Drosophila melanogaster: one gene and its partners. The protein of the gene in region 3 purifies or fractionates together with the protein of the main gene of each other region. This does not show direct contact. Each region holds a gene or a part of one and is shown on either strand. Other genes may lie near its edges. The genes, in order: rept, spag, Wdr92 and Pih1D1.

Region 1 (4,253 bases), 1.3 Mb from region 3:
GCAGGCATCCCATGTGAGCCATGTCCATAGGTTATAAATCGTGGTCGGGCTGCCTGGTTGGGTGGTTCCGACCTGGCTAGGTAGTTTGGTAGTTTGGTTGGATGGTGCAGCGACGTCTTTTTTAATGAAAGATGGCAACAACATCATGAGCGATAAAAGGTTGTCATTAAAATTGCAGTGGTTCTACTGGTTGCTTCATTAGAGCAGGCGCCTCTTCTTTGTCGCGGTGCAAGAGTCGGGAGCTGGGTAGCTCGTATTCCAAACTAGGTTGCCGTTTTGGGTAAATACTGTCGGGCAGAGTCATTGAATCAAGATGAAAGTGGAATTTCTAATGGAAAGACAAAAAGCAACAGCAGAAGGGCAATATCTGCAAAATTCCACGAGGCAAAAATAGGAATGAAAATTGGTAAAACATTTGCTTGGTTTTTAAAATTGCTAGATAACTTGCTGAACATTCTGCCAAAACTTAGAAACTGTAGCTAGCCATATTTTAAAAGTTAATATGAGCTTAAAATATACTGAACTATAGAACTATATGTACTGTTAACACTGATATCAGTGACTGCAGTTAAAACCAAACTGATGCTTACAATTGATTTTGGTGACTTAGATAAAACAAGAACTTTATAACATTTCATCAATTACAAAATGGGTTTTATCTTAATTATCTGTATTGTAACAAAGTCCTAAGAATATTGAATTTTTATGACATTTATTATTAATGAATTAAGGGCAAATATACAAATATCACTAGAAAAGTTTCAACCGTTTTAGAAAATATACAAAATCAGCATCTGAATAAAGTTATCCTCTTCCAGTTCAAAGTGGTTTGTGTTTTCTTAATTACCTTCCAAAAACTTGGTTTATTTTTCGTGATCAACAGCATTTTAAACTAAAACAAGCGCCTCGAGGAAGACTCCCCCTCGCCATTCCCGTCCACTGGACGAGCCAGTTCAATTGAATTGATCCGGACCATGGTGTGCGGAGATCTCTGGAAGTTGATGCGCATGTACTGCTTCCTGCGCTTCTTCCTAAAGTGCGTCTTCGTGTGGCTGAGCGTCTTCTCCACGACGGTGGCCTTCACCAAGATGAGTCCGGGCTCCAAAATGGGCCTTCCCACGAGCGTGAAGTCGCGGGCACCGGCCAGGAGCACCTTATCCAGGCTGATCTCGTCGCCTATCGTTGGCGGCCAGTATCCCTCCACCAGGATGATATCTCCTGGAGTTACTTTAAATTGCTTGCCGCACAGGTGGACAACCGCGAAGAGTCGTCCCTGCTCGGATTTTTGCACCTGCCGGTTGATGCGCTCGCAGATGCTCAGGCACTCCTTCTGCTGATCCTTAGCTATGGCCGATAAATCCACCGATTCCGTCGCCGGCTTGTTTTGCTGCCCAATTACCGGCGATATGCTCAGTGGACGCATGGCACCTACAAAAGAATGGGATTTCATTGGGACCTGGTTATGTCACATTGTTTACATCGATGCTATTTAATATTCACTTACCTGCCGTCAACAAACTGCGATTGGGCACGTGGCGTAGCATTTGACGCATAGTTTGCGCTAGAAAGGACATCGTTTGGCTTTGTTTTTAACTCAAAAGTACATAAATAAATCGGATCGGTTTAATGTCGGCAGATAGGCAAAATGTGAATAACACTAACGCGTTTTCGAACAGCTGTGTTAGCATGCGCACGTTAACATCCCTGTTACATTTTCAGAAATAGCTTGTAATAGCTAGTACGACTAAAGCTTGAAGCAACTCAATAAATAACAATAAGTTACCGCACACTTGCAGATATTTCGGAAAATGGTTTCCTTTACATTTAATTTAATCGTATTATATTTAGCGGCTTGTGTACTTGTAAAACCTAGCTGCCGCTAGCGAATGTTCTCCCACGCTGCCATCACTGACAGCATGTGCTGCGCATAACAGTGCTGTGTAATCATCGAACTTTCAACACTACTCCAAGCAGGCCGGTAATTTCATATACGAATTTTATGCTTAGCAACTTATTTAAGCCCAGTAAACAACTAGTAAGCCACTGAAAAGATCGCACAAGAGTACAACTCCCGACCAGTGATACAGTAGACAGAATCAAAAGCACAAAATGGCCGAGACCGAGAAAATCGAGGTTCGCGACGTGACTCGCATCGAGCGCATTGGCGCCCATTCGCATATCCGCGGATTGGGACTGGACGATGTGCTGGAGGCTCGTCTGGTATCCCAGGGAATGGTGGGCCAGAAGGACGCGCGCCGTGCCGCCGGCGTTGTGGTGCAGATGGTTCGCGAGGGCAAGATCGCCGGAAGATGTATCCTATTGGCCGGGGAGCCTAGTACCGGCAAAACGGCCATTGCTGTGGGAATGGCGCAGGCTCTGGGCACCGAGACCCCATTCACTAGCATGTCCGGATCGGAGATATACTCGCTGGAGATGAGCAAGACCGAGGCTCTGTCACAGGCACTGCGCAAGAGCATTGGCGTTCGCATCAAGGAGGAAACCGAGATCATCGAGGGCGAAGTGGTGGAGATCCAGATCGAACGCCCCGCCTCGGGTACCGGACAGAAGGTGGGCAAGGTCACCCTCAAGACCACCGAGATGGAAACCAACTACGATCTGGGCAACAAGATCATCGAGTGCTTCATGAAAGAGAAGATCCAGGCTGGCGATGTGATCACCATCGACAAGGCGTCCGGAAAGGTCAACAAGCTGGGTCGCAGCTTCACCAGAGCCAGGGACTACGACGCCACTGGCGCTCAGACCAGATTCGTCCAATGCCCCGAGGGTGAGCTTCAAAAACGCAAGGAGGTGGTGCACACTGTGACCCTACACGAGATCGATGTTATCAATAGTCGCACCCACGGGTTCTTGGCCCTGTTCTCCGGCGATACTGGAGAGATCAAGCAGGAGGTTCGCGATCAGATCAACAACAAGGTTCTCGAGTGGCGCGAGGAGGGCAAAGCTGAGATAAATCCGGGAGTACTCTTCATAGACGAGGTGCACATGCTGGACATTGAGTGCTTCTCCTTCCTGAATCGCGCCCTGGAGTCGGACATGGCTCCGGTGGTGGTGATGGCCACCAACCGCGGCATCACTCGTATTAGGGGCACTAACTATCGCAGTCCGCACGGCATACCCATTGATCTACTCGATCGCATGATCATCATACGCACTGTACCGTATTCCGAGAAGGAGGTTAAGGAGATCCTAAAGATTCGCTGCGAGGAGGAGGACTGCATCATGCACCCGGATGCCCTGACCATTCTTACACGCATCGCCACAGATACCAGTTTACGCTACGCCATCCAACTGATTACCACAGCCAACTTGGTCTGTCGTCGCCGCAAGGCCACCGAAGTCAATACCGAGGATGTGAAGAAGGTCTACTCGCTCTTCCTGGACGAGAATCGCTCGAGCAAGATCCTCAAGGAGTACCAGGATGACTACATGTTCAGCGAGATCACCGAGGAGGTGGAAAGGGACCCGGCCGCTGGAGGCGGGGCAAAGCGTCGCGTGGAGGGCGGCGGAGGAGATGCCCAGCCCATGGAGCACTAGAGTCTAAACTGACATCGCAGCAACCCCCCAGTACATTCTCATGACTATTTTATGATCAATAAATAAGTTTCCTTGTATCTATGATTAAATTAAATGCCTACGAATTTGGTCATGGTTTTATAACGATTGTAATTAATAAACCATTATCAGCATATGGTTTCAAAGTTTTATAATTTCGGAAAAGGATATCAAATGGCCAATTGGGGTAGTTAAATACAGCATTGGCTAAAAATAAAATCATTTTTCTTCTCATTGTAGCAAGGGAATCAAGATAGTACAAATTTTTCAATAATTAACTTAAAAATTGCGTTTAGTAGCTTGCAAAATAATAATTATAATCAATAAAACGCAGAAATGAACTTAATGCGCATGTTATTCGATTCCTACTACAATTCTCACTAATTTCTAGTTTGAGCTATCTTAGGAAATAACTAGAAAAACAGCCACGCGTCTTGTACCTAAAAATAATTTCATTGCATTTATTTCGCATTTCAATTTACTGACATTAAAACTTAGCGTGAGCATATCAAAATATATCGTCGCATCATCTTTACATTGGTATAAAACTGTCTTTATGGCTTAGTTAGTCTCCTTGAGCGCTGCTCCCCTTTCAATAAATGAAATTTGAGTTTGATTTTCAAAGACCCTGGTGTATCGTTATAGTCTCGAGTGATCTGTCTAGTTCCTAGATGAACTCA
Region 2 (4,276 bases), on a different chromosome or scaffold from region 3:
TTAGCCCCTGCTGGCACGGCGGGAGTTCGACTTCCTGTTCTTGCCGGAGCGCTTGGCCTGGCTCCGTTTGGCCTGGGTCTTCTTGGCGTTCAGTTTCCGGTTGCTCCTGGTCCTGGAACTACGGCTGGTGCTGCTGGCGGTGGTGGTGCCCACACGGATCTTCCTCACAATCGAGTACGTCAAGTTGGACAGGTACACTTTCTTGGGCGTGCTGGACGAGCTGTAGGTGGGACTGGTGGAAGTGGAGGAGGAGTTCTGTGAACTGGAGAAGTCCAGGCAGCAGATCACGAGCACCACGATGCACAGGGTGCCGATTTGAATAGTTGACTTCATGTTGGTAGTAGGATTGCTTTTAATATGCTTCGATGGATGCGGCCGGAGTGCTTAAGTAGTCGCCCTGGTTGTTTGCACAGTTTGCTCAATCGCCTACGAAGGCCGACGAAATTGTTTAATTTTGGCAAAACACACTGGCGCTTAAGCAATCGCTCTTGAGTTTGCTTTGCCTTGAACCAAAACAAAATATTCAAAAATAGCTATATGCTTTCACGTTTAATTTGACCAAAGGAAATGGGGAAATGGGATTACTTAGCCGAAGACTGGTTGAAAGGACTCCGCGACATACGGTCCACCATACGACGCACTTGCTCCTCGTTGCCGTACTTCTGGGCATCGGCCACAACGGCGGCATGATGGGAATTAGCCTCTGCTGAGATTTCGTCCTGGATCTGGCGACTCAGTTTAAAGGACGACCTGTTGGGGATGGTGAAAGTTCAGTGTGACTACTTAAATTCTCTGGTTCATAATCATTAACCTGACGGAGGTGAAGCCAAAGAGTGCCCCGACGAAGCCTAGGGCCATCAGAACCACGGCCACCTGCCAGTTGGAGACCCTCTTCAGACCACGGATGCCATAGTACGGTCCTGGATTGGGATCGTAGTTGGGCCTCACATCCCACGCCTGGCCGGGATTGACCGTCTCGCCAACGGGACTGCGGTCCGAGCGCGATGGCTGCCACAGCAGGCTGTCATCGTAGTCTCTCCTCCGCTCCGGCTTTATCAGGGTCTTGTACGCCTCGGAGATCTGAACAAATCGGGCTGTGCGCTCCGGACACGCAGCATTGCTCTTAACATCTGGGTGGTACTGTGGAAAGGGCAGGGTTTAGGAGGCTCCTTTGGAATCTTGGAGTTACTTACCAATTTGGAGAGCTGGACAAAGGCATTACGGACTTCACGGGTGCTGCAATCATTGCGAATATTCAAAACTTCATAGTGTGTTTCGGGTTTTCTTGGTTTGTCGTTCGAGAAACTGCGCAATAGGCAAACATTTACTTTACATAACAAGTTTTATAGACGTAAAGTCCTTACTTACGCACATATCCAGCTCGAGTTGGAAGGCACAACCTTAGCATTGTGAGCTTTATTAGTATTATTTGTGCTGATCTGTCGGAGAAAGCATAATTTTAAACTAGGACTTTCAAAATAAAATCAAAACACAAAACAGCTGATTTGAGGGCCTTACTCTGGCAATCCTGGCTGGCCAGCTACAAAAATAGAGTTGGCAGCTCTGTTCGATGAAACAGCAACTCAGTTGAACTATCGACAGCGAGCAGTGCTGCCAGACTGTCGGAGCGCTAGCAACAGAAATAACAAACATTTAATATTTCTTTAGCCACTTGACAAGGCAAATCAATATGAGTGCACAGGAAAAAGCCTTCGAACTGCAGCGCCAGGTGCGCCAGAACGCGCGGGAGTACGAGAACTCCGTGAAGGACTTGTACTCCTGGGAGCAAGACATTAAAAACAAGGAGAAAGAGCTCCAGAAGTCGCCGCTTTCTGCCGCCAATAAGGTTAGCTTTAAATTCTTTGGTATTAACAAGTAAAGCTCACACTTTCAATGCAGGATCTGCCAGTGCGCAGTCATGTCCAGACAGACAAGTCGCGGAAGGAGAGCCCATCCTCCTCGGCGGCCAGCTCACCCACGGAGAAACAGGACTTGCCAGTGGATCCTGTGGCCCAGCAGTACAAGAAGGCCAACGACATCAAGGACCGTGGAAACACCTATGTCAAGCAGGGGGAGTACGAGAAGGCCATCGTGGCCTACTCCACTGCCATTGCCGTCTATCCCCACGATCCCATTTACCACATTAACCGGGCACTGTGCTACCTAAAACAGGAGAGGTAGGACTGTTTAGAATGTTCTCGATACTTCTTCCTTACATGCATATTTATCCTTGCAGCTTTGATCAATGCGTGGAGGACTGCGAGGCCGCCATTGCGCTGGATAAGCTCTGCGTGAAAGCTTACTACCGGCGAATGCAGGCCAACGAGTCCCTGGGCAACAACATGGAAGCCCTGAAGGATTGCACCACTGTGCTGGCCATCGAGCCGAAGAACATCGAGGCCAAGAGGAGCCTGGCCAGAATCAACGACCGTCTGCGCAAGATTGGTAAATATAATTTTGATTACCTAGTAAGCATATTTTAAGGCTTTTCATTGGCATCCTTACAGCCACCAAAAGTGGGCCAAACTTTACACCCGATCGTCCTGGCATGATTGAGATCTTGCCAATCGAGAAGCCTGCTTATAAACGCTCCAAGAAGGCAATGCGCAGTGTTCCCGTTGTAGACGTGGTATCTCCTCGTGCTACCATCGATGATAGCAACCAACTACGCATTTCGGATGAGGACATAGATAAGATATTTAATAGTAACTGCGGCATAATCGAAGAGGTCAAAAAAACAAATCCAAAGCCGACGCCAATGCCAGACACATCAGGTCCACCCAAAGCTGAGACCATTGCTAAGACCTCCAAAGAAGTCAAGCCTACCAAACAGACTGCGGTTAAAGTAGCTCCAGCTGTGGAAACCCCCAAAGAAACAGAAACACGCAAGGATACCAAGATTGTGCCTGAATCCGATAATGAGGCCAAGCCAAGTGCACCCAAAAAAACGGCTGTCGAGGTCCCCAAGGTTCAGACTCAAGTTTCTCCACCAAAGACCACAATAGAACGCAGCCCAGAAGTCAATACCGTGCAAACTGAAAAAATTGAACAAGCTTCGAGCAACAACGCAATGTCACCCAGTCCAATAGAGGTAGGTTCGCTTAAGATCAAAGCTGAATTATTATTAAACCAATTCTCTATGATTTAGCGCTTCTTACCGCCCGCACCCACGAGCACAGCACAGTTCCATGTGACCTGGAAGGAGCTGAGTGGTCCGCAGAAGTACCAATACCTAAAGTCCATTGAAGTCCCGAATCTGTGTAAGATCCTGGGAGCAGGCTTCGATTCGGACACGTTTGCCGACCTGCTGCGCACCATCCACGACTTCTTTGTACCAAATAAGGAGCCAAACACAGCAGCTGTCTTGCTGGAGATCAGCAAAAATGACGAATTCACCATTTTGGCCATGCTCATGTCCGCAGAGGAGAAGAAAAGTAGGTGACAAAACTTTTCTTGCATAATTTCGTTTGCATTTCATGTACTTTCCCCTTTTCACAGTGGTTTCGTCTATCCTCAACGCCATCAAGAACTGGCCCAGCAAGAATCCGGCTGTGCTGGACAACCTTTTCAAGGAATACGGAGTAGCCTAAACACCCAATGTTTTATGTTAAAATGTACTTATGTTGCTTCAAATTGTTAGCTCCAAAATCAACTAAAACAACAAAAATGTTTAAAATATAAAGAGGATTTGTAGATAGGATCCCAAAACGTTACACAGAATGCGAATGATTGAATGTGTTTTGTTCAGCGTTTATTAGATACGCTAAGATGCTCACTAGTTACACATGCTGGGAATATCTCAAAGTGACTCATGTTTTTTAGCCTAGTATAAGCCGAAAATTCCATATGCAGAAGACCATTTGAGCAAACAAACCGTTCTTGCCCGACCAGACCATGAATATTGAATAACCAATTGAGTAATACGAATTAGTGTAATTTACATAAATCAGCGCATTAATTCAATCTGCGAAGCCACCTAAAATGGGCCTTCCAGCAAGAACAACAACTCCATTAAGCGACGTTAAGTTGGAAGCGCTGATGATCAGTCGGCTTATCCGATCCGTGCACATATCATTACAGCGAAACCACAGCCAGGAGCACCAGGAGGGGCCCCCAAAGCAGGAGGGGCATCTCGCCGAGAACCGCGCACCACCGAGGCACCCGGGCGGCCCACTAATTGCGTGAGAGCTGGTGCACTAAGCACAGGGGCCGGGTTTTACTTTAGCCCATTGTGCCGCCGCTAGTTATAATTTAATTTACATTTTTCTTAACCAAC
Region 3 (3,687 bases):
ATAAAAATAATCTGTGTAAATTACCGATTGATTGATAAGTAATTCACAAGTTTTATTCGCTTCGTTGTGGGAAAGTATAAAGCTAGAATTTTATATTTGTCAGAAAGAAAATATAATTATAGATTTATTTAAATCTGGTTCTGTATTCATAACCAATAATTTTTACAAAAAGACCAAGTCGACTGTTAAGGGGAATTTTTGTAGAAATAATTGCCTTTATAATTGTGCACTTTACGTGTTGCATAATATTTACTTTTTTTTTTTTTTCAGACCAAAAAACCAATTAGTTTCCATTCACTATTTGTTCTCCCCAGCGTGGTGGGCTTATCAACAAATCCCAATAAGTATAGGGTATTCCGAACGGGCGATGCGACAGGTTGGCAAAAAGTCGCCAAAACGGAAGAATGACATAAACATATGTACTATATACATGATGTACTATAACGCTTATATACTAAATATTATACACTATGAGTGTGTGTCAAGTGCAAGTGCACCGAAAACAACAGAGAGGGCACACAGAAACAATAAAGCCAATGAAAAAGCTGAAAAGTACACAATTAACGTGATTGTCCCCAAAATTGACGATAAATCGAAAGGCAACGGCGGAAGTAAGGAAATGTTGGGCAATACAAATGAATGTGAAAACATGCCGAGAATGGAAGAATCTTTGTGGCTTTTACCTTTGAGAAACTACATTAATTTTTAGTTGGCACTCAATTCGGTTGCCAACGAGTACAGCTGTTGCTGTAGTTGTTGTTCTTGTAGTCGTCTATACTGCCGTCGATTTGTTGGCACCTTCAACTTTTGATAGCGCCTTTGTTATTGTTGTATCACTTGTTGCCAATAAAAAATTGATTAACACTTTTCTGGCGCATGCATCGCAAATATGCTAAACTTTGAGCACTCTTTAGCGAGTTTTTGTTCTGCCAAAACGATTATCACTTATATAAAACCGGCTAAAAGGCCCGCAAATTAATAGCCAACGCTATAAGCTGCGCTTTGTTATTTCAATAATATTTATTTTCGCTTATTTAACCCCGCACGTTTAATATCTCATCGTTTTTTTTTTAATGCAGAAAAGCGTCGCTTGCGACACACGTAAAAGTGTTTCTTTGTCGTTATATATGAAGTTGTTGCTGCTGTTGCTGTTGTTGTTGCTATTGGGGGGTCGAACGCCAAAAAAAGATGCTCGCGCCAAAAACTAAATATGTGGAAAATCCGCGACAGAAGCAAAACAGCGTCCGACTGACCCAGTAAAACTGAAGAAAAAAGTATTCAACTCACAGAGTGGCGAAAGCTTTTTAAGCTTACCACCATTAACAGCTGTTCCCGATGCCTTCTAATGTATCGGCATAACTATCGTACACACACATTATTTCGTAAATTTTAAATTATTTGATTATATGAGTACAAAATGTGAACTATAGTAATGGGATATACTTTTTACAAACGTTAAGCGTTATTATTTTTTTAAATATTGCATTTTAGTGGATATGTTATAATTTATCTATTTAAAAATTAGATTTGGTATATTTCCGTCAGCTGATTGGTATATTTCAGGCGCTGCATGTACGGCTACACTGAAAAAGAGGAAGAGATAGCCATGACAACAAAACAACTTGTTTTTGATAAATCCTTAAGTTTTCACCGGCCGCTTTTGGAATATTAGCATAAAGTTGAGACGGAAATATAGATCGTTGAAATGGACAAGCCCCAGCTTATTGAGCACCTCCACGAGGCACTCAACTACACGGTGTACGATACGAAATGGGTGCCCCTTTCGGCCAAGTTTGTGATTCTGGGCTCCAAGGCCAACGGGCACGGAATCATGGACATCTACGAACTCAACCAGGATAAGCTGGTGAAAGTGAAGTCCGTAGAGAAGAAGGTTGCCTTCAAATGCGGCACCTTCGGAGCAGCTTCGCTCAGGAACCGCCACATGGCCATCGGAGATTTCGAGGGCAGGCTGCAAGTTCTGTAAGCATAATCCCGCTTAAGTCATTAGATGCTTCTCTGACATGTGTTCTTTGCAGGGATATGGAGCAGCCGGACCTTCCGGTCTACAATGTAAAGGCCCACAACGGCATCATCAACACCATCGACGCGATTGGCGGCACACAAATCGATTGCGGTGCTCCGGAAATCGTTACTGGAAGTCGTGACGGCGCCGTTAAAGTCTGGGATATCCGCCAGGGGCAGGCTCCTGTGGTGGACATGTCGCCGCCGCCGCAAATGGGCGATGGCGTTAACAACAGCAGTGGCCGCCGGGACTGCTGGGCCGTGGCCTTTGGAAATACCTACAACGCTGAGGAGCGCATCGTTGCCGCCGGCTATGATAATGGAGATCTAAAGATATTCGATTTGCGATCCCTTTCCGTACGCTGGGAGGCCACCATGAAGAATGGTATCTGTGGACTGGAGTTCGATCGCCGGGACATTCCCATGAACAAGCTAGCGGTCACCACTTTGGAGGGCGGTCTCCTTGTCTTCGATATGAGAACCCAACATCCGACCAAGGGATTTAGTTACGTGGAGGAACGCAACGCCGGACGCAGCGTGGGAACAAATGGCGTGATCAGCGGACCCAAAGCCACCGTTTGGGTAGTTCGTCATCTGCCCCAGAATCGGGATCTCTTTCTCACGGGCGGCGGAACTGGTTCCATTCGCCTGTGGCAGTACGAGTATCCCGACAGGAGGGTCATTGATGACTCTGATGGAAACAAGTTGGGAGTTGCTGGAGCCCTTAATATGCTTAGTGCAGCCACTTTGAGCTCTCAGCCGGTTCACTGCTTTGACTGGCATCCAGACAAACTGGGCCTAGCCGTCTGTGGAGCATTCGATCAAAGCGTGCGCGTTTTAATTACCACCAAACTAAACACTTTTTAGATGGTGGACATCAAAAGAAACCCATTAAAGAAATGCTTCATACTTGTGATATTGGATGATGGGTTAATTCATAGGTTTATATTTTTATGAATACACTTTCATTGCACCTATTGCTAGACAATAAATCCTTAATGCGCAATAGCTTTTAAAATCAGAAAAACTGGATAATCTGCTTGAGCTGAATTATATTACAAATCAAAACTAGCTTACAAATATATATCAGCAATAAACTATTTCATGTACAATAAAAAATGACTCTTTTTATTTGTTTTGCAATTACAAAATAGTATAAAACCTTATATAGTGTATAACTAAGATCGAGACGCATTCATTCGTTCCTGGACAATTTTTGTCAGGTCTTCGATGCGTTTTTCCAGCTGCTCCACTTTTGCAGTCTGTTCTGCCGATACATCCACATTTATGGCTCTCTTCAAAGCATTCAGACAAGATGTTCCCGCCAGTCTGGCTGAATTTAGTTGAGAGGTAATCATTACCTCACTTTCCTCTTGAATGTGCTCTGTGATGGCCGCCACTGAGAGATCGCAGACCTCTAAACAAAGATCTAGGGCTTTTAAAGCGTGCTCCGACTTGGTTTCCCAGCCCAAATGCTTCGGTGTGTACGCACGATACGATTTTACCAGTTTCTCGGCCTTCTTCAGTGGCGTTTGGGCCACCAAGGCGGCCAGTTCCCACACAAGAGGCTCGTTACCATGTTGAATGCTCTGCTGTCCCAGAAGCTTTATGAGTCTTTTGATCAGAGCACTTGAGCCGGCGGGGTCCTCCTTGGAAACTCCGTAA
Region 4 (7,972 bases), on a different chromosome or scaffold from region 3:
CGATCTCGCCCACGGTGGACTCCTTTTTGGTGGAGTTCGAAATGCGCAGGGCCTTGCGGTAGATGGCATTGATCAAAGCTGTCCTGATTCGCAGGCCCACAATGAACATTCGGTGGAAATATTGCCCCAGAATAAAGGTCTGTGCAGCGGCCAAAACGAAAAGCAGGACAGCGTATAAGATACCCTTCCATTCGGGCTCGGCATCTTGGGCCTCGACGAAGCTGATGATCAAACTCAGGACTTGGGGCTGGGCAAATGTCAGGGTGTCGGTGAACAGCTTCATTAGGGCGCCGAACAGAAAGACGCCTCCGAAGGACTTGTAAATTGGCGGCATAATACTGGCCATGCCCTTCTTGCGGCCATTCTTCTCACCGTGGGGATTCTCAAAGGTCACGTTGCCATTGCTAAACTGCGCCTTGGGTTCTACGCGCGCCTTGTTCTTGTAGTTCTTGCGCACGTTCTGGTTCCAGTGGTGGGCGAAGATGGGCATGACCTCGGAGCAGCTGTCCTGCGGCCTCAGGTCCCACAGATCCTTCTCCTCCAGCGGGTTGCGATAGCCCTTGAGGGCCATTTTGTCGAACCACTGATAGGTGATGCGGGAAAGGAAACTGGCTGACAGTTCGGGAATCTCGTTCTCACCCCTCTGGTACTTGGTTTGTCTGGGCATTCCGTCCGCGAAGCAGTTCAGGATCAGCATAATGCTGGTGAAGGTGAAGAAGATAAAGAAGCTAACGAACTGATACTCCTCCCAGGAAAAGTCCTGCTCGGATGGCTGTTGCGAATTCAGAATCTTCTGGCGCTCCGCGTCCAGTCGAACTTCAGTGCGGCAGCGGGGAATCGACAGCACAGTGAGCAGGAACCAGAAGATGAACTGACATCCCGTGGTCTGCACGCCATACTTTCGATTCAGCGGGATGAATATGAAGAGCAACAGGAAGGTGGCGAACTTGATGATGGGACCCCAAACATCCAGGTCGTAGAGCGGCAGCTCAGAGTCGCCGCCCTTCTTGACCAGCGCCATAATTAGGTCCAGGGCAGTGATTACCAGCAGACCCAGATTCACCAGAGCTTTGCTCACGTTCAGCTTGTTCCACGGTATATTCCTGTCCAAACTCGCCTTCAGGTAGTAAAAGTCAAAGATCACGAACGCCCAGTAGAAGGCGCAGGGTGTCCAGACCAGCGCCGTTTGCTCAAAGCAGGGCGTAAAGTCCGGATCGTTGGTATACCATGTCTCTGTTGCGTTCTGTTCGTTGGACACACGGAAACCATACATTTACACTATGCATTCGGATTGAACACCACTGCTGATGCACTCACCCAGAACGTGGATCCGCAGAATCTGTCCATCGGCGAACTAGTGTCATCCGCCATGGTTACTCGACTGCTCGGCAACCTCCTCCACGTGCAATTGGGCTATATGCGTATGCTATATCGGGCGATGTGGTAACTGTAAAGCGGCAAGGAAATAAACGGATCTATATTTTCGGGCCAACAGCTGTTCCTTCCCAAGCCGCACAACTACAACAACCGCTAATCGTGACAGTGGGAAGTTGATTGCTAGTATTTTTCTGGTATTTCGCGGGCACAGTGGGTGTCGGATGGAAAATGAGTGTATAATTCTGCACTGCGTGTTATTTTAATTGTTTATATTGATTTAAGTGAAACTTGTAATTTTTGTACATAAATTATTAAAATACATTTGCTTGGAAAACTTAGTAGAAGCAAGTAGAAATCAATTGCATTTGCAACAGCAAAAATACAAATGAATTTCTTAAATTTGGATTAAGCTTTTAAAGTTTCATATAGAAATTCATAGCAATTATTCTCGAAAATTCTTGTCATTTACTTTTTATTAATGAGCACCCTGTACAGGGAAAACGCCTATCTAGTATTTTTAGCCTATCGCATGGCATTAAATGTTTTTCCACCGGCGTTCACACTGTCACATTAGTTTTCATTTCAATCGAGTTGACAGCTCCATTCTGGCAAATAAAATTTGCGTTTTTCGCTCGTCGCTCAGCGCAAAAATAGCATTTGCATTGGATTAACTCGTAACTGGCAATTGAAATCGTGCAGCAAAATGTCGCGTCGTTCCAATTTCATTGAGGGCAACGACAATTTTCGCGACCAGAACCTGCGCTTTGTGCGGGTAAGCAAAACTTGAGAAATTCGATGTGAGGAACTATCTGCGCCACTAAAGATGAACTTGTTTTTTTTTTTTTTCATTTTCTAAATGCAGAACGAGTTTGAGGACAATATTAACCAGTACTTTGGAGGCGCCGATCCGGAGGGCAGCGGCCCGCAGCAGAAACCGCCGCCGCGAGACTCGCTGATTGTCCAGCCGACCGCAGGTAAGTGGCGTCCATTGCAACAGCCGGAGCTTCACATGGCACAGCAATCGCTGCCGGTGGCGCGGAGAATCTAACCGGAGATTACAGCCAGCTAGTAGTAGGCATGACTCTGGGTTTATGGTCTACTTAGCACTTGTGTGTGCACAGTAATCTCTGCGAGCGCGGAACCATGTCAACCTGATAAACATCTCACGTCGACGTCGATTGCGCGTAATCGCTCGGGGTGGTACAGTGAACCCGCGATAAGGCGAACAAACGCACGCGAATGGAACACGTCATAGGACAGAAAAACCCATCCTAACGAATCTTCGACAAGACTTTAAAAACCAATTACGAATATTGAAAACATATCCGAATTACTTGTATTTAAAATTGAATCAATTGCTCTAAATTTTTTAATTAATTCCGTAAGTTAACTATAGTTTGTGCACACTTTTTGTATATTCAAATTTCCAATCTTTTAATGGTTATTAATTAGTATTTTGCACTTAACTATTGGATAATTCGTCAAAACAAAGGCAAAAAATCAATTATCCAAACAAATCAGTTTAATTCCTATGCACACTATTATTTGACAAACTATCTATCGTATTGAAACAAAAAGAGGGTTGAGCGGGTAGTTAGTACGAAGTTTTGTAATCTAGCCGTCGTTATTGTGCGCTACGGCAGTTAAGTGTTTACATGTCCAGGGCCACTTGGAGGAAGGTCTAATCGCGCCCACTTGAAACGATAGTTTATAGTCCAGCGAGATTGTACAATGCCAATGACAAATGAGCGACTAAAACGTGTTTCCCCGCCTCGAAGAAGAACTAATTTACACAGAGATACACACAACTAAAAAGAAGGAATGAGAAACTTTAAGCGAATCTTGAACGGAGCTCATAAAAGGTATTGGGCTAGTCACATTTTATGGGCGCCAAAAACTTGTTTGCCCCGTACACGCATGTGTTTTAAGCCATTTGACTTTAGATAAAATTCTAACACATCTGAAACGAGTATTTTCAGTTCGATATAATTAACGGCGAAACCTGTTCCCGCAGCGATTATATAAGCACAAAACAATCGGCAGAAAAAACCCCCTTACAAAACCTAATATTTCAATTGTACGAAATGTGTGTGTTTTGCCTTTACACCCAAGTGAAATTTCTCTTTAAAAACAAAAACGTCGACTCACGATGAGATGCTAAGCAAAATGGCATGGAGATCTCTTGGCTGCACCATAAAATCAAGGAGAAAACCTGACAATTTTCTCAGCAAAAAACGCCACTCTCTTCACAACCTGACTGACACACACGGTTTGTTTGTTCTGGATCAGATCATGCCAGCCGGCACAAATTGTTTACACCGCCAAAGAAGAGTGATTTATTTACAGAATATCAACGACACTCGACACTTGATGACTTTTATTAATAGGGAAAAAGCTGAGATAAGGCTGACTGGCTGCATTTAGCCAAGTGTGCAAACTCTGGAGAAAACAACTTCCACATAGCGAGAATGATTATACGAGCAGCTCCTTATCGGGGACCCCACAGCTGAACCTTATCGTGTGTGCTGCCTGTTGCTGTCCCCCTACTAGACTCTTCCATTGTGTTTGTCGTTGCTCCAGTTATGAATTGCACATCGTAAACCCTATATTGCTCCTAATCGCACACTTGTTTGCTCCACTTGCTGCTGATTCTGAGTCCTTGGAGCTTGATTACCATCGGACTGGGCGAGAAGCTGTCGAACCCACAGATCGTAGGCCATCTTTCAAGGCCTGTGACGTCAGTGGAACCCACGAGGCAATTAACTTCAAATTTGTTCGTACGAACAGCAGTACGACAACCTTGCGCACCACAATTTTTACACTTTTTCTGTTATCAATTAAATAATCGAGCTGCGAGCATGACAAAACACTTAACCATATCAAACTACTTTGAATGTGAATCATCGATTTCTCGTCAGTTCTTTTTTTTTTTTTTCGTATTTCTTTCGTTTGCTGAGAAATGTTTGCGCGGGATATTCTGGAGCCTTTCGGAAATTTCACAATTTCAGGCAAAGAATGTGGACACACAGAGATAGATACACAACACATAGATACGAACGCACACTGGCACACTTGTTCCGCTTTGGCGGAATCCAACAACCACATATCAACAAGGGTATCAAAAATGGACGGCGGTGGTTGTTGTTGGCGGTATCGATGCGACTGAAATGTCACTTATAATTACCTCTACGTAGAAAAAAACTCGCTGCGATTCAAACGAATCGGTTGTGGGGGATCGGAGTGAATAGAATCGAATCGAAACAAAACGAGCCGTAGCGGTTGAGGTCGGATCGCTATTTGGATTTGGATGGAGGGCAGCGTCGGCGGAGCACTTCAAAATCGACGGACAACCGGCTCGTTACGAGCAAAAAGGCAAACTGAATTCGAAGCGAGCGCTGCGAACAAACTTATTTGTTTTCCGCGCTTTCCGTGCTCAAAAAAAAAACAACAAAAATGAGATAATAGCGCCACCTCGGAGAGCGTTTAACTTGGCTCTTTTTGTGGCGCTGACTGCCTGGTGGCCGCCCGATCAATTAAAACCCCCTGCCATCAAAGCACCCGACTCTCCAATAATGCCAAGTTTGTCCAGAATAAAACCCAGCTGAAAGATACCGACTCTCTTTCCTGATTTTAAGTGCCGATTTAAACATATTTTCCTGCTCTGGTGAAATTATTCTGAACCGAAATGGACACACGACGCGACTCTTAAACGTTTTGTTGTCGCAAGAGCAACAAAAGTGGGCCGAAATGATAACGATATCAACAGTAGTCATACAATTAAGAGCATTTAATGGGTGTTTGGTTGCGAATTCTTCACGATTTTGGTATAAGCATGACCATACCTATTGATTATCAGTTTATTGTGTGTTTGATGCCATAAATGTATAATTACTGAGTAGTTTCTTAACAACTACAACTACAGGATTTGCTGCTATGCATTTCGAAAGTACACACCAATAGAATAGAATTCTGTGATAGAATTTCTAATCTAATCAATTTAGATGTTTAATTTAAAATATGAGATAGTGGCAGTGCTTAGTGTTTATAGATTGACAAAAAATCAAACATCAAACTTAGTCAGCATTTTGATAACGACTGAAAAGGCAATCAAGTAGTAATGCAATTGAAATTATCATTTTTTTTTGTGTTGTACAATTTGTTAAAGCAATTAAAGGGTGGGAAGAAATGCAAAACAAAGCAAATCTATTATAGATTTAAACTAAAATTTGTATGCATATTTTCAGTGAGCATTGTCGTCATGAGTAGATTAGATTGGAATTGGTTTGCTAAACGTGACCACATAGCTCTAACCTAAAACGTGTCTGCTTTTTTAAATTTTAAATTTCATATGTGGTACCATGAAAATAGCCAACAGCGAGCTGGACAATCGGCGCCAATTTCTCCGTGACCTGGGCGCCAGTCGGGTGTTGGCCAACGCCTTGGCGCAGCGCACCTTCAATGTGCCCAAGTTCAACCTGCGCCATTTCCAGCGCCAGAGGTTCCGCCTCAGCGTCGAGCTGGGCGACAGTCACCAGGATGTGGTGGACAAGGAGGTGCTCCAAGCCATCGAGGAAGCGGTGGCTAGCCACGACGACGTCGAGTCGCGGCCACGCACTCCGTCGCCGCCGCGGAACATTGATTGGCACAGCGCCAGGATGAATAACTCACCGGCTAATAAGGATCGATCGCGTTCTAGGAATCGTCAGAGAGAGGAAAATTTCCCAAACAACAATCGCGGAGTTGTGGAACAACGGGAGCCAATCAATAGGAATTGTGGACCCGTAAATCGCAATAATCCTGGCATGAATCCTGCTGAGTTCAATCGCAATCGTTATGCAAATGCGCAGGACTTTAATCGAAATAATCGAAATATGGACAGAAGTGAATTCAATCAAAATAATCGCAATTTCAACCGAAATGAGGGTTCACGTCCCAATCCACAGGATTTCAATCGTCCCAATAGAAATCAAAATCCACAGGATTTCAATCGTCCCAATAGAAACCAAAATCCACAGGATTTCAATCGTTCCAATAGAAATCAAAATCCACAGGATTTCAATCGATCTAATAGAAATCAAAACCCCCAGGATTTCAATCGTCCCAATAGAAATCAAAATCCACAGGATTTCAATCGCAATAATCGTAATGCCTATCCGCATGAATTCAATCGTAATATCCGAAATGATAACGAGCAGGAATTTAATCACAATCGTAATGCAGTCAATGATGAATTCAATCGCAATACTCGTAATGTTAACAACCAAGCATTCCCTCAAGGACATAACCATAACAATCGTAATGCGAATGCACAATTCAATCGCAAAACTTTTGACGAGAACCCAAACTTTAATAACCAACGTTTTCAAGGACCAAATCACCAGATCAACTATCGTGTTCAGATGCCAAACAATGATCATTCCCAAGTAAACAACAATCGCAGGCCTGGTAATCAGAACTTCGTTTCGAATCAGCAACCCAACTTGGATCGTAATGCTATAAGCGATGACGGCATTCAGCTGCCAAGAGATCGATTCCGTTCGCCTGAAGCGCATCCAAAACAACCACCATATCCACGTAATGTGAACGCTGACCAGGTTGGAAACCGTGGACCCCAAAAGAGGCACAATTATCAGCGTATTGTGAATGACAATCAAATAATACTACGTCGCACCGACTGGACTGACGAAGAAGAGGATCTAGATCTAGAACACCATGATATAGACGACTATATACCCGATGAACGCGAATTTCTTGAAGATGATGCCGATTTCATCGATGACACAAATGATACACTTATGAATGATGATCAGTATGAGGGTTACCACTCAAGGGGTAATCAACACTACATCCAAGATCATAACATCGATGATCGTAATTCATATGGACGCAATCGCAACGATCGTAACTTTGAGGGCATTAGGCGCCAGTTTGATCCAGAACTCGATCGACGCAACTTAAACGACAACTTCAATCAGCGAAACAACTATTCGCGTGGCGGTGACACCGTACGCTTTCCCCGAAGGGAGGATGACACATTCCAAGGCTCAAATAACCCTAATTTTCCACCGAACTATCCAAACACTATTCTCCGTGGATCGGGTTCTGGAAATCGTTGCCGCGATACGAGCTCTAACAGACCCATGGGTCCCAATCAAAACAGACGAAGCCGCCTACCAAATGCTGATGAAGCTGCTCCAAGTGTGGCCCATTCTGGGGGTCCCATACAAGATGGAACTAATTTAAATCGTAGAATCAATAAAAATTTAAATCCTGGCAAGGGGCCAGATCGCATCAATGCTGGGACTCCTAATCAACCCAGATCCAAGTCAACCACATCTCAAACTCGAAATCTAAATCCTGATATTCCAAACAAAATGGTCAAGAAGTCGGCGGTTCCACAAGACAATCGTGCACCGCAACCAAACAAACCTATGAACACCAATCCTGGTGCATCCAAACCTGGTCAGTCGGTAATCAAACCGAAACTACAGGCAACCAAGATCAACGCGGCCATGGCGAAACCGCTCGCTGGTAAGGGATAAACTTTTGAATTCTTAATAAATTAAAAATTTGATACAAACCAATTACAAGCTAG

What was found.
Region 1: the proteins of Wdr92 (region 3) and rept purify together in Drosophila melanogaster (affinity purification with western blotting, with the first as the bait; one study listed by BioGRID). This does not show direct contact.
Region 2: the proteins of Wdr92 (region 3) and spag purify together in Drosophila melanogaster (affinity purification with western blotting; one study listed by BioGRID). This does not show direct contact.
Region 4: the proteins of Wdr92 (region 3) and Pih1D1 purify together in Drosophila melanogaster (affinity purification with western blotting; one study listed by BioGRID). This does not show direct contact.

The regions. Positions count from the first base shown.
Region 1 is NT_037436.4:19,253,406-19,257,658, forward strand, and holds rept (reptin), read left to right. Parts: upstream 1-1,934; 5' UTR 1,935-2,109; coding exon 2,110-3,555; 3' UTR 3,556-3,706; downstream 3,707-4,253. Other genes in the region: mRpL21 (mitochondrial ribosomal protein L21), read right to left, coding at 893-1,428, 1,505-1,574. UniProt on the Drosophila melanogaster protein: Acts as a transcriptional coactivator in Wg signaling caused by altered arm signaling. Pont and rept interfere antagonistically with nuclear arm signaling function, and are required to enhance or reduce arm activity, respectively.
Region 2 is NT_033778.4:24,157,781-24,162,056, forward strand, and holds spag (spaghetti), read left to right. Parts: upstream 1-1,603; 5' UTR 1,604-1,690; coding exon 1,691-1,846; intron 1,847-1,899; coding exon 1,900-2,177; intron 2,178-2,236; coding exon 2,237-2,445; intron 2,446-2,507; coding exon 2,508-3,091; intron 3,092-3,148; coding exon 3,149-3,434; intron 3,435-3,498; coding exon 3,499-3,590; 3' UTR 3,591-3,723; downstream 3,724-4,276. Other genes in the region: CG42568 (uncharacterized protein), read right to left, coding at 1-333; DnaJ-60 (DnaJ-like-60), read right to left, coding at 582-750, 812-1,140, 1,194-1,305, 1,365-1,408.
Region 3 is NT_037436.4:17,906,549-17,910,235, forward strand, and holds Wdr92 (WD repeat domain 92), read left to right. Parts: upstream 1-1,594; 5' UTR 1,595-1,705; coding exon 1,706-1,980; intron 1,981-2,036; coding exon 2,037-2,889; 3' UTR 2,890-3,135; downstream 3,136-3,687. Other genes in the region: CG5290 (uncharacterized protein), read right to left, coding at 3,201-3,687.
Region 4 is NT_033779.5:12,715,830-12,723,801, reverse strand, and holds the start of Pih1D1 (PIH1 domain containing 1), read left to right. Parts: upstream 1-1,958; 5' UTR 1,959-2,080; coding exon 2,081-2,149; intron 2,150-2,239; coding exon 2,240-2,351; intron 2,352-4,561; exon of another isoform or gene 4,562-4,757; intron 4,758-5,745; coding exon 5,746-7,908; intron 7,909-7,972. Other genes in the region: MRP (Multidrug-Resistance like protein 1), read right to left, coding at 1-1,243, 1,318-1,371.